Linked DNA regions of Canis lupus familiaris. The protein of the gene in region 3 purifies or fractionates together with the protein of the main gene of each other region. This does not show direct contact. Links are inferred from orthologs where the notes say so. Each region holds a gene or a part of one and is shown on either strand. Other genes may lie near its edges. The genes, in order: RAB7A, DLAT and PDHA1.

The links.
Region 1: the proteins of PDHA1 (region 3) and RAB7A fractionate together in Homo sapiens (co-fractionation; 3 studies listed by BioGRID, with this or other methods). This does not show direct contact. The link is inferred for Canis lupus familiaris from reciprocal best matches to the Homo sapiens genes PDHA1 and RAB7A.
Region 2: the proteins of PDHA1 (region 3) and DLAT fractionate together in Homo sapiens (co-fractionation; 3 studies listed by BioGRID). This does not show direct contact. The link is inferred for Canis lupus familiaris from reciprocal best matches to the Homo sapiens genes PDHA1 and DLAT.

Annotation. Positions count from the first base shown.
Region 1 is NC_049241.1:2,781,992-2,786,247, reverse strand, and holds the start of RAB7A (ras-related protein Rab-7a), read right to left. Parts: upstream 2,936-4,256; 5' UTR 2,927-2,935; coding exon 2,874-2,926; intron 1,188-2,873; coding exon 1,061-1,187; intron 1-1,060.
Region 2 is NC_049226.1:21,103,644-21,107,289, forward strand, and holds part of DLAT (dihydrolipoyllysine-residue acetyltransferase component of pyruvate dehydrogenase complex, mitochondrial), read right to left. Parts: intron 258-3,646; coding exon 142-257; intron 1-141.
Region 3 is NC_049260.1:15,414,584-15,418,928, reverse strand, and holds the start of PDHA1 (pyruvate dehydrogenase E1 component subunit alpha, somatic form, mitochondrial), read right to left. Parts: upstream 2,883-4,345; 5' UTR 2,760-2,882; coding exon 2,703-2,759; intron 1-2,702. UniProt on the Homo sapiens protein: The pyruvate dehydrogenase complex catalyzes the overall conversion of pyruvate to acetyl-CoA and CO(2), and thereby links the glycolytic pathway to the tricarboxylic cycle.

The DNA.
Region 1 (4,256 bases), on a different chromosome or scaffold from region 3:
TGTCTCTCATGAATAAATAAATAAAATCTTAGAAAAAAAAATACAGGAAGGAACAACTGCTGTGGAGATAGGAATTTCAAAAGACAACACCTAGGCTAAAAGTTGGAGACTTTTCAGGATGGATGGAGATGGGACAAAGGGGTTGGGATGGAGATGGGACAAAGGGGTTGGGATGGAGGCAGACAGGTGCAACGACAGCTTGTTAAAAGCAGCACATGGTTTGGAAGGACTGGAAAAAGACAAAAAGTGAAGAATAGTTTGTAGTCAGAATGCAAAGACTTTCAAAAGGTCATATTAAGGAATGTGTATTTTATCCTAACTGTTGCAAGGGAAACCCCCTGAAAGATTAAAGTAAGGTGATACACAAAAAAGCCAGGCTAACTTAACAGAAATACAAAGTTGGTGGCTATAGATAGGACAGATTAAAAGTCAGAAAAACAGGGAAACTACATTAACAGCTACTATAAGAATCTAGGAGAGACCCAAAGATATTCTGACCTAAAATACTATGTGGCGATTTTTGTTTTTAAGATTTTATTTCTTTATTCATGAGACATGGGCGGGGGGGGGAGCACCCAGAGACACAGACAGAGAGAGAGGCAGGCTCCCCAAGGGGAGCCTGATTCGAGACTTGATCCCAGACCCCGGGATCATGCTCTGAGCCAAAGTCAGACGCTCAACTGCTGAGCCACCCAGGCGTCCCCCATGTGGGGATATTAAGAGAAAGGAATGAGTTAAACATTTTGGAGACAAAAGTTTGGGCCTGTATGTTATCAAATTCAGCAAAAACAAAAAACACAAACCAAACCAACAAAAAACCAGGAACTCCAATTAAATTTGAACTTTGGAAAACCAATGAAAAATTTCTAGTATGTCTCATGCAATGCCTGGGTCATACCTGATGTCCTGTATTTGTATCTGGCCATCCTACCTGCGACCAATTATCCATGAATATAGTAGTGGGAAATGAGGAATGGGGTGGGAAAATGCCTAGGCATGAACAAAAGAGTTCAGACTGAATGAACAAGGCTTGGGTGACAAAGTTGAGATGTGTGCTTACCTGCATTGTAACTAGTCTGTCATCCACCATCACCTCCTTTGTCAGAAAGTCTGCTCCTATTGTAGCTTTGTACTGATTACTGAATTTCTTGTTCACATACTGGTTCATGAGTGATGTCTTACCAACTCTGAAATTGGAGAAAAACCACAAGTATAGGTCAAGTTAGAAGGGGCAGAAAAATGATTCTGATATTTGCAGCTCTGAAGATACTTGCCAGCTTAAAGGATAACAAGCAACTGTAATCACAACAGAGGATAGTGCCAGCAAACTGCTCAGTGTTACTCATTCGAGGTTTTATTTTCTCCTGGAACAAAAGTACAGGGCTATAGATGTGGATCAGATGTTGAAAAGCTGCTCTTAAGTTTTGGTACAAGTAACTCAGATGGTAGAACTTAGTATTATTTTTTTCCTTCCAGAAAGATGTCAGCAAATACTCTCTTTCTAAAAGAAGCTACAGCAATAAGATCCTGCCACCATTCTAAAAATATCTCTGCTGTCCTGGGTGTCTCTCCATTTAGGGGCTGATATTCAGTCCAAGAAAGTAATAGCAGGAGAAAGTCACTGGCTATGAGCAGACATATATGCCAGTCAGCCACCTGCTACTTCAAAGATTAAAATCTGAAGTGAGGAAAGCATCAATATTCCCACCAAATCAGAATCTACCTCAGAGTAAGCTCCTCCAGGGAAGTTTTTCAGTAAGAAAACTCAGTAAGAGACAATGTGTGGATTTTTTTTGGTGATGAGATTAGTTAGGGCAGGCTGAAGATAACATAAAAGTCTTCTTCCAAGTCAACAGGATCACCTTCCTTTCCCTCTAAGGAACATATTCATCTTCATAGGCAGAGGACCTGGAAGTAAGTTATGGCTTAAGGCAGTGTTCTCCAATCCAGGTCACCTGGGTCTGAATTTTCAGGGGAGAGGTCAGGAGGTCTCTAATCAAATAAAGGCCCGGTGATTTTTCCCATGCAAGTTTGGGCCTAAAACAGTACCTTTCATTCCTGACAGCACAGTGGTCACCAGGAAGGAGGGAGGAGGGAGACAGAGAGATATATGTATTTAAGTACTGCCAATGAGGCCCAACACAATGGTCTGGAAAAATGCTTACTTTTGAAAAGCTCCTCAGGGCAATCAGAAAAGCCAGACAGGGTAGAAAAATCACTGCCTTCTTAAAGGGCAGGGAACTTTCGTGTAAGGAGGCACACCTGGATTTATCATCATCATCATCATCATCATCATCATCATTTAAAAAAAATACATAGCTTCTAGTTGGTCTAAGGTTTCCAGGTCACATCAGATGCTGAGTCTGAAAAGCCTCCCACAGAATCGTTAACAGCTACTGAAGAGTTAGTCACTTAATTAGTGGCAGATCTAGGATCAGAACCCAGTTTTCCAGTCGCAGGTTCTTTCAGATACACCCCAAATCAGACCCAGTAGTGGGAAGATACTGCACAGCTGTATCCAGACTCCAAACCCACAACTGGTAGGCATGAGGTCAGTGGCAACAAATCTACACATGAACAGAACTCCCTTGTCTAATCAGCTCAGAAAAAAGAGATTCCAGTGAAACCGTTCTTGAGTTTAAATGGCTACTCCTTCCCCTAAATCATGCCAAAGACCAGGGAACCAAGGATTACAGACTAAGAGATCATTAAAATTTCTGCTGTGCTTAAAAAAAAAAAATCTGCTGTGCTGGAAATGGCAAGAGACCTAGAACCCTACTGCCACTACTATTAGAGAAGTGGCAAATGTGAGCAGGGAGGGCATGGCTTCAAAGTCACATTTAATCCAAACCAATCTGTTACTTCAAACTTACCCAGAATCTCCCAGGATGATAACCTTCAGCAACACTTTCTTCCTAGAGGTCATCCTTCAAACTAAAAGGAGAAAGGAGAAAGTACTTGTGAGCGTGACAGAAATACCCAGGCAAACCTCATCCCTCTGTACAAGCATCAACACAGCCCCAGGAGCACTAAGCCTTCCCATTTAGCTATTTCCCTGCCACCCAGGGGGACCAGACAGAAAGCAGAATCAATCTTAGAACTTTGGACACAAGCTGGGCAAAATCATGAGAGGCAGGGTCATCCTGCCCCTTGGAGCAGTCTAAAAGGATGGATTCTCCCTCTCAGATGTTGCTGGATCACTGTGGATTAATGTTCAATTTAACAACTAGGCCCTGCTTCATTCAAGTCTCTGCTCACATAGCACTTCCTCAGAGACATGATCACTTTATCTAAAGTGGCACACCCTCTCCCCATCTGCTCTCTAACCCTTTACATTGCCTTACTTTTTTTCTTCAGAGCACTTACCACTACTTGACATCCAAATCTATTAATTTGTTTTCTCCCTTCTCCAACAACTTCCACCAAGACAGTTTTATTCCCCACTGCATCTCCAGTGCCAAGTAGAGAACAATTATCAAATATTGGGGTTGGGGGATCCCTGGGGGCACAGCGGTTTGGCGCCTGCCTTTGGCCCAGGGCACGATCCTGGAGACCCGGGATCGAATCCCACATCGGGCTCCCGGTGCATGGAGCCTGCTTCTCCCTCTGCCTGTGTCTCTGCCTCTCTCTCTCTCTCTATCATAAAAAAAAAAAAAAAAAAAAAAATTAAAAAAAAATTGGGGTTGGTGTGAGAACAATACTTGTTGACCTGCAGCTCTTGAGATCACCCTTTTCTAGAAAACCTTTCAGGGCAGCCCAGGTGGCTCAGTGGTTTAGGGCTGCCTTCAGCCCGGGGCCTGATCCTGGAGATGGGGGATCGAGTCCCACATTGGGCTCTCTGCATGGAGCTTGCTTCTCCCTCTGCCTGTGTTTCTGCCTCGCTCTCTGTGTGTGCCTCTCATGAATAAATAAAAAAAAATCAAAAAAAAAAGAAAGAAAGAAAGAAAAGAAAAGAAAAGAAAAGAAAAGAAAAGAAAAGAAAAGAAAAGAAAAGAAAGAACCTTTCAGGCAGCCTGGCTAGACAATATGTAAGATGCCTCATTTTTGCTTATCTCTATTCCAGAAATCTGCCCCTATTTACTTACTAAGGCAGGGTTCCTGTCTTAATTATCCCTTGGTCTCCTGAACCTGATTCTGAGTTTCAGAAAAGCAGGAGTCCTATATTCCGGACTCCAATGTTAGCAACTTACCTAAGACTGCTGGAGGATCACTCCTCAGACAGCTGGAATCCCCAGCAGAAGGCCTGCATTCTTCTC
Region 2 (3,646 bases), on a different chromosome or scaffold from region 3:
TTCAAACTGTTTTGCCTATGGAAGTCATCTCCCTCCCTGTATTCCATTTCTCCTTATCCCCTATATTCCTAGTTACATGTGAGATAGCACAAGAAATCTGCTGGTGGATACATATACCTTGACCAGCAGTATCTTACTTACTGTCTTATAACTGTGTCCAGCCAAGAGGAATTTGCTTCAGGAACTTTTAAACATGCCAAAGCTGAAGCTTTTATGATGAAGTCATTGACAGAAATTTTGCTTCTCCCTTCTAACATCTGCAAAGACAAGAAACCATCGTAGTTTCTTAAACTCTCTTCCCAAACACTGAAACATAACCTCTGGCAGGGACTTGGGGGGGGGGGGGGGGGAGAATACAAATGTCCTGAGGTATAAAGGATGAAATGAAATTAAAAGTTGGTTTTTTCATCTTTTTAATGTAGGCCTTTTTGTAGGTCTTTAATGTAGGTCTGTAGCTATAAGCCTCCTACTAAGTCCTGCTTTAGCAGTATCCCTTAAGTTATGGTATGTTATGCCTTCATTTTCACTTATCTGAACAAAACCAAAAGTTGGTTCCGTGAAAAGATCAACAAAATGATAAATGTTCAGCTAGACTGACAAAGAAAAAAGAAGACTCATATTTCTAATCAGAAATGATGTGGGACGTTACTACATAACCTACCAAATAAATTGTAAGGTAATGCTATAACAATTATCCCACAAATTAGATAATTTAGATGAAATGGAAAATTCCTAGAAAGATACAAGCTGCCAAAACTGAATCAAAAAGGAATAAAACCTCTGAATTGATCTGTAACTAGTAATAGAGACTGAATAATTTTAAAAATACCCACACAGAACAACTTAGACCCAGATGACTTCCCCAAATGGTGAATTCTGCTAAACATCTGAAGAATATCAATTCTTCACAAAATCTTCCAAAACACAAAAGAAGGAGCACTTCTCCACTCATTCTGACACACCAGTATTAACCCAATACCAAAACCAGACCAAGATATCACAGTAAAAAAAAAAAAAAAAACACACACACAAAAAACAAAACCCAGAAAAAATAAAACTCAAATACCTAGGAATACAGATCCAAAAACCCTCAAAAAAATTCTAGCAAACCAAATCCAGCAATATATGAAAAGGATTATTCACCACAGCCAAATGGAATTTGTCCCAGAAATGCAAGGTTGGTTAACATCTGAAGATCAATTAATGTAATAATGTCAGAATATAGGACAAAAATCACATGACCATCTCAATAGACACAGAAAAAGCTTTTGAGCAAATTCAACTACCACTTCATAAAAACTAGGAATTGAAAAAAAAAAAAAAAAACAAACAAACTAGGAATTGAAAGGAACTTCCCACATCTCATGATAAAACAGATCTACAAAAGTCCCACAACCATCATCATTGTACTTTAGTGAAAGACTTACTTCCTCTTACGATCAAGAACAAGACAACTTCCAGTCAACATTTTACTAGATGTGCTAGCTGAAGAAGTTGGGTGAGAAAAGGAAATAAATGACATCCAAATTGGAAAGGAAAAAGCAAAATTATCTCTATTTGGAGACGAATGATTTTGCATATAGAAAATCTTAAAGAAAAAAAAAAAAAGAAAATCTTAACACTAAATAAAAAACAAGGTTTTAGGATACAAGAGCAATACACAAAAATCAACAGTATTGCTCTATAATAGCAATAAACACTCTGAAAATGAAATTTATAATAGTATTAAAAAGAATAAAATATCTAGGAATAAATTTAACAAAAGAAGTACAAAAACTTATACTTGAAAAACTGTACAAATTATTGAAAGAAGTGAAAGAAGACCTAAATAAATGGAAAGACACTCCATGGTCATGGAGTAGGAACAGTACTAAGAAGACAATACTCCCCAAATTATTTACAGATTCAATGAAATCCCTATTCCTACAGGAAATACCCAAAACAAGCAGATCTAAGACAAAAAGTAGGTAGTGATTATCTAGGGTTGGGGAAGATGGGAGGATTGGAGTGGGGGCTAAGGTAATGGGAGAATGATTTCATTTTGGGGTGATGAAAATGTTCCAGAATCCATTGTGATGGTCATAGAACTCAGGATATACTAAAAGCCACTGAATTGTAAACTTTAAGTGGCTGAATGGTATATGTGAAATGTACCTAAATAAAACTGTTAAAAAGAATAAAATAATACACTGGATGCATACTTTTCATGTCTAATTTTCAAATAGATTATAAAATAGCTTTACCATTTTGCTAGTAAAAGCATGCAATCATCTTTAAGCCATATAGCCAGTTACTACCTGTTAATGCTTCTTGCTTTATTCATTCATGCATCTAATATTTGAGTACTCTGTTCTAAAAATCCCTGGATATAAAGCAGTGGAAAAAAATGGGTAAAAATTCTACTCTTAGGGATCTTACATTCTAAAGGAGTAGACAGATAATAAATAAATGAAATATATAATATGTAAGATAATGTTAAAGAGAAAAAAACAGAGGAAAAGAACTAATGGGAAAACTGATTACTCACCCCATTCCTCTTCCCTTAATTTTAGAATAAGGTAACCAGGGAAGATGAGAGAAGGTGATACTGAGTCAAATCCTTAAGGTGGTAAAGGAAGAAACCAGGTGGATGCTAGGGGAAGAATATTCCATGCAGAGGGAACAGTACGTGCAAAGGGACTAAAGTAGGAGTATACAGGCAGAGTGTCGAGGAACAGGAAGACAATTTTTTTCGAGCAGAATGAGCAAGGAGTGGAGTGGAAAAGCAGGAGGTCAGAGAGGTTATAGATAACCTGTATAATGCTGAGTGCCACTGGCTTTTACTTTTCACTTCTTTGAAAACAGTTTTCATATCTCCTCCTACTCAATTCTTTTTTTTTTTAAGATTTTTTTTTTTTTTTTTTTTTTTTTTAAATTCATGAGACACACAGAGAGAGAGAGAGAGAGGTAGAAACACAGGCAGAGGGAGAAACAGGCTCCCTGCAGGAAGCCCGATTCGGGACTTGTTTTGGGAACCCAGGACCACGCCCTGAGCCAAAGGCAGACAACCACTGAGCCACCCAGGTGTCCCTCCTATGCAATTTTTTTTTTTTTTTAAAGATTTTATTTATTTATTCATGAGAGACACAGGCAGAGGGAGAAGCAGGCTCCATGCAGGGAGCCCAATGTGGGACTCGATCCTGGAACTCCAGGATCGTGCCCTGGGCTGAAGGCAGGCGCTAAACCGCTGAGCCACTGGGGCTGCCCACTTACGTCCTTTTTAAAAAGCATTTTGCCTTTATGATATTCCATCAGTATAATGAACTATCTTCAACTTCTTTGCCAATGCAAACCCTTCCTGTTCTCCATAGCTTAATCAAGTTTTTCCCACACCACTGTGAATTCCCCAACTACTTTTATTGGTGTCCTCCTTCTCTGAATTCCTAGAACACTTAACCTATACAGTGTAATTTAGCAGTCAAGGGGCATTACCATAAAGAAATTGACCTACCAACGGGTATTTTTACTTTAATAAAAATTGCCTCTTCTGTTTTTCACATGCATTATCTCCATTAGATTAAAAACTTAAGCTCATGGAGGACTATGACTTATGCTGTATTCCTAAAAGTGCCTCATGCTAAGCATAAGTAGGTAGTTGGTACTTAAC
Region 3 (4,345 bases):
GCTAAAAAATCATTGTTAGATGAAAGGAAACACACTTGAAACCGTCATGAACTGGGTAAGTTTCTTATTCCACAGATTGCCAAGTTCCCATTCTGGGTTTGACACTTTGATTTGCAAAAGTGTCTTTAAAAATAAGTAAGCATACCAGATGTTACTCCCATCAAGACAGAAACAACCACTTTCTAAGCACAGGTGATACAAATAAGTTTAAGGAATTTGTCTTTCAAAAAACTCATTGTATAAAGTAGGTGTTTAATATCTTAGAGAACGTAAGGGAAAATGTTGTACTGTCACTGTCTCTAATCGTTTTTATTTTAAGATTTTATTTATTTATTCATTAGAGACACAGAGACAGAGACAGAGAGGCAAGAGACATAGGCAGAGGGAGAAGCAGGCTCCATGCAGGAAGCCCAATGTGGGACTCAATCCCGGTACTCTGGGATCACGCCCTGAGCTGAAGGTGGAAGCTCAACTGCTGAGCCACCCAGGCATCTCTCTAATGGTTATTTTTAAAAAAACTAATTAAATAGAAGAAATGTTATACATAGGAATCCATTTCCGCTGTAATAATCTTTTCTCTCAATAACAATTTTTGACTAAATGAAGTTATATTCTACTCTGATCTTATCCAGTTAACAAATTACTAGAACTCAAAATTCATTTTTTTAAAAATATTTATTTATTCGAGAGGGGGGTGAGGGGGGAGAGAGAGAGAGAAAGAGGCAGGCAGAGACACAGGCAGAGGGAGAATCAGGCTCCATGCAGGGAGCCTGACGTGGGACTCGATCCCAGGTCTCCAGGATCAGGCCCTGGGCTGAAGGCAGCGCTAAACCGCTGAGCCACCTGGGCTGCCCTCAAAATTCATTTCTATTTGATTTGGGCAGTAGTATATGATTTTTTGAAGAGACCAAAGTTTTATGGAGATGAAGCATTTCATGCCAACGCATTGCTGGAAGACTGAAAAACACAACCAGAAATATTTTGGATAGCCGAGCAAATGAGCCTCTAATATTAATGGCTTCTCTCTGTTCCTAGGGACACAGAGATGACAGTAATTTGAAACGCATACACTAATTTTTTTCTGTAGAACATCACCAATTCTATCAAAGTTTTTCCTTTCTACTACAACCCTTTAAATTTAACATGATACAAAACTAAGATTCTCATATAAAGTTGAACACGTGTTTCCATTACTTACATTCAACTAAAAACTGAAGTTGTGGAGATTAAATAGCCTAGCATCTGGCACATATTAAGATCTCAAGAAATGTTGGATCTATCATGTGATATACAGAAATAACACTGAAATGAGCTTATCCTTTAGGTGGATCTAGTTGCAATTAAATGCTAATGACTGATGAACCAAATTGTGTTTTTTTTCCCCCCAATTATGTTTTGTAGTTATTTCAGTCAATGGGATTCCCAAAAGGGTATACTTCCTACCTTTCAATGATTTCTGCCCACAGTAAGCAGAACTGCCACAAAGTCCTGGAAGTTACTAGAACCTGAACTGCAAGTCAAGCTTGGCTACAGTTCTACCCAGTAATACTACCTCCCCATACCTAGAGGTCAAAATGCTGGAAGGCTTGAGGCACATCTAAAAACTGGAGCCATAAATAGTGCTGACCTCTAACCCCACTCTCCCAAGCACCAAAGCTGTTTTCTTTAGCTACTTTTACCCTAAGCGTGTGCGTGTAAGAAGGGCAATTTCCTCCGGGTTCTGCTTGACTGCTCTTGGAAGTGACTGCCAAGAAAAACTCAACACTGTGGGAAAGGAGGGGTGGTGATTTCTGGTGAGCATGACCCAGACTTAACCCTCCAGAGCTGGGTGAAGGTGTTTCACAAATGTATACCCAAGGGGGCACTGAAGTAACATTTTTAAAAAAGATTTTATTTATTCATGAAAGACAGAGACATAGGCAGAGGGAGAAGCAGGCTTCCCGTGGGGAGCCTGATGTGGAACTTGATCCCAGGACCCCGGGATCACTACCTGAGCCAAAGCCCTACTCTCAACCACTAAGCCACCCAGGTGCCCCTGAAATAACATCTAACACAGATAGCACCTACTATATACCAGGCGCTATTTGGCAAGGTTTACATATATGTCAAGAGTTTAAGCTTCAGGACAACCCCTTGGGGTGAATACTCGTATTATCTCTTTAGAGAGCTGGAAACCGAGCAAGGGAGATTTAAAACAAAAACCTGCCTAAGCTCACAGAGCTAGTAAATGGTGAGGCAGGTGTTTGAACAGGACCAGTTTCTGAAGTTCACGTTCTTAACACACCACGTGGCCTCTTAGTCAAGAAGAACAAAATTAGGAAGACTTCAAATGAATGGGCAGGATCAACTGGGGACTCGTGGATGCCCCAGGCCCCCTTTTCTGTCAGCAGTAAATGAACGGGCATTTCTGGAGCACACCTACTGTAGCCAGCGCCGGGAGTCACAGCTGACCTCCCCGTGGACCTGGTAGAGCTCCCCTCCCCCCTTTTGCGGCTGATGGGCCCAGCAGCCGCTAGTCCCGGAGCAGGGAGCCGAGTGCCAGGCGCGAAGGCAGAACAAAAGGCCCGCTACCCTCCGGCCGCTCCGCAGCGCCCTAAGAGGCACCACACCGCGCGCCCCCAAGCCCTGGCCGTACTCCCGCGTCGGGCCCCGCCTCGACCCCGCTCGCGCCCTACCCCGGGCCGCCCATGCTGCTGCCTCACCGGCTTCTGGGAGACGCCCGACAACACGCGGGAGACAGCGGCGAGCATCTTCCTCATGGATTGCCGGCAGCGGCGGCGGCGTAGGCGACTCCCAAGTACACAGGCGGCGCGGCCCCGAAATCTCCCAAGTCTCCTTCAGGCGCCCGGAGCGGACGCCACGCCTTAACTGCAGCACGACCGACGAAACGGAAATTCGTCACGCGCCGCGCCAGGCCGCAGGCCAACCAAGCGGGCTCCCAGTTGCGTGTCCCGCCCACCGAAGAGGTCCGCGGCCGCTCATTGGGTGTTGGCGCCATAGGGGGCGGGCACTGGGGGGCTCGTTGCGTCATCACGTCACGGGCGGGCGGGGATGCGGGAACTTGAGGGCGTCCGCCTGGGAAAGTGGAGCCCCGCCTCCGGAACCCCGCGGGAAAATGGCTTTTCATGGAGTTTTGCGACTCAGGTTAGGCGTGCACGGCGGGAAACCGTACGGGCCACCTGCCGTGCGCCCAGTCTCGCCGGGGCTGCACTTTGGCAGCCTTCGTTCAATGCACGGCAAGATGAAGACTCATGGCGTGGTCGGAGCCGAGACGGAACCTCTGGTTTCTGTAAATGGTTCTGCTGCTAACTTGTCTTTAAGAGATCATGTAACAGTTGTAAAATGCTGCCCTGTGTACTTGAGTTACGATCTAAAAATCAATTCCCCAAGTAAATATTGAGAGATCAGCTGGGAAAAGCCTTTAGCTCTAGTTACTGGTTCGCGAGCTCAACGGGAGTTAACAGCCGCATGACACAGCTGATAATAAAAGCACACACAAAGAAGCAAACACAAAAATAAGTCTAGGCTCGATTCAGTGAGTTCCCAGGTCAGAGAGCTGACTGTGGGCCAGTGGGGTTACACCTGGGATACTAGGTTCAGATTTGGGGTCCCCATGTAAGGGGAATGTTGTCAAAAATGGGTGGAATCCAGGGGACAGTGGTCAGAATGGTGAGAGGCTGAAACCACAATTTGAACTCCAAGAACTTGAACCGACTCAAGGACTCAAGTCACCTTGTTTACACTTCAGGTCCCTCACGGCTTGGCTGGGATCTGCTCCATGTCATCTTCACTCTGGCACTCAAACTGATGGAATAGCATCTGTCAGCAACTTACTGTACCTACTGTACCGTAAAAGGCAAAGGGATCATTTAAACTGGCTCTCAGGGCAGCCCTGGTGGCTCAGCAGTTTAGCGCCGCCTTCAGCCCAGGGCGTGATCCTGGGGTCCCCGGATCGAGTCCCACGTCAGGCTCCCTGCATGGAGCCTGCTTCTCCCTCTGCCTGTGTGTCTGCCTCTCTCTCTTAAAAAAAATAAATAAATAGGGATCCCTGGGTGGCGCAGCGGTTTGGCGCCTGCCTTTGGCCCAGGGCGCGATCCTGGAGACCCGAGATCGAATCCCACGTCAGGCTCCCGGTGCATGGAGCCTGCCTCTCCCTCTGCCTGTGTCTCTGCCTCTCTCCCTTTCTCTCTCTGTGACTGTCATAAATAAATAAAAAATAAATAAATAAATAAACTGGCTCTCAAAGCTTCTACCCAGAAGTGACACATGTCATGTCCTCTCAATTTCCATAAACCAGAGCTAGTCACACAACCGTATCTGAGTTCAACAGGTTGAAGTATAATTC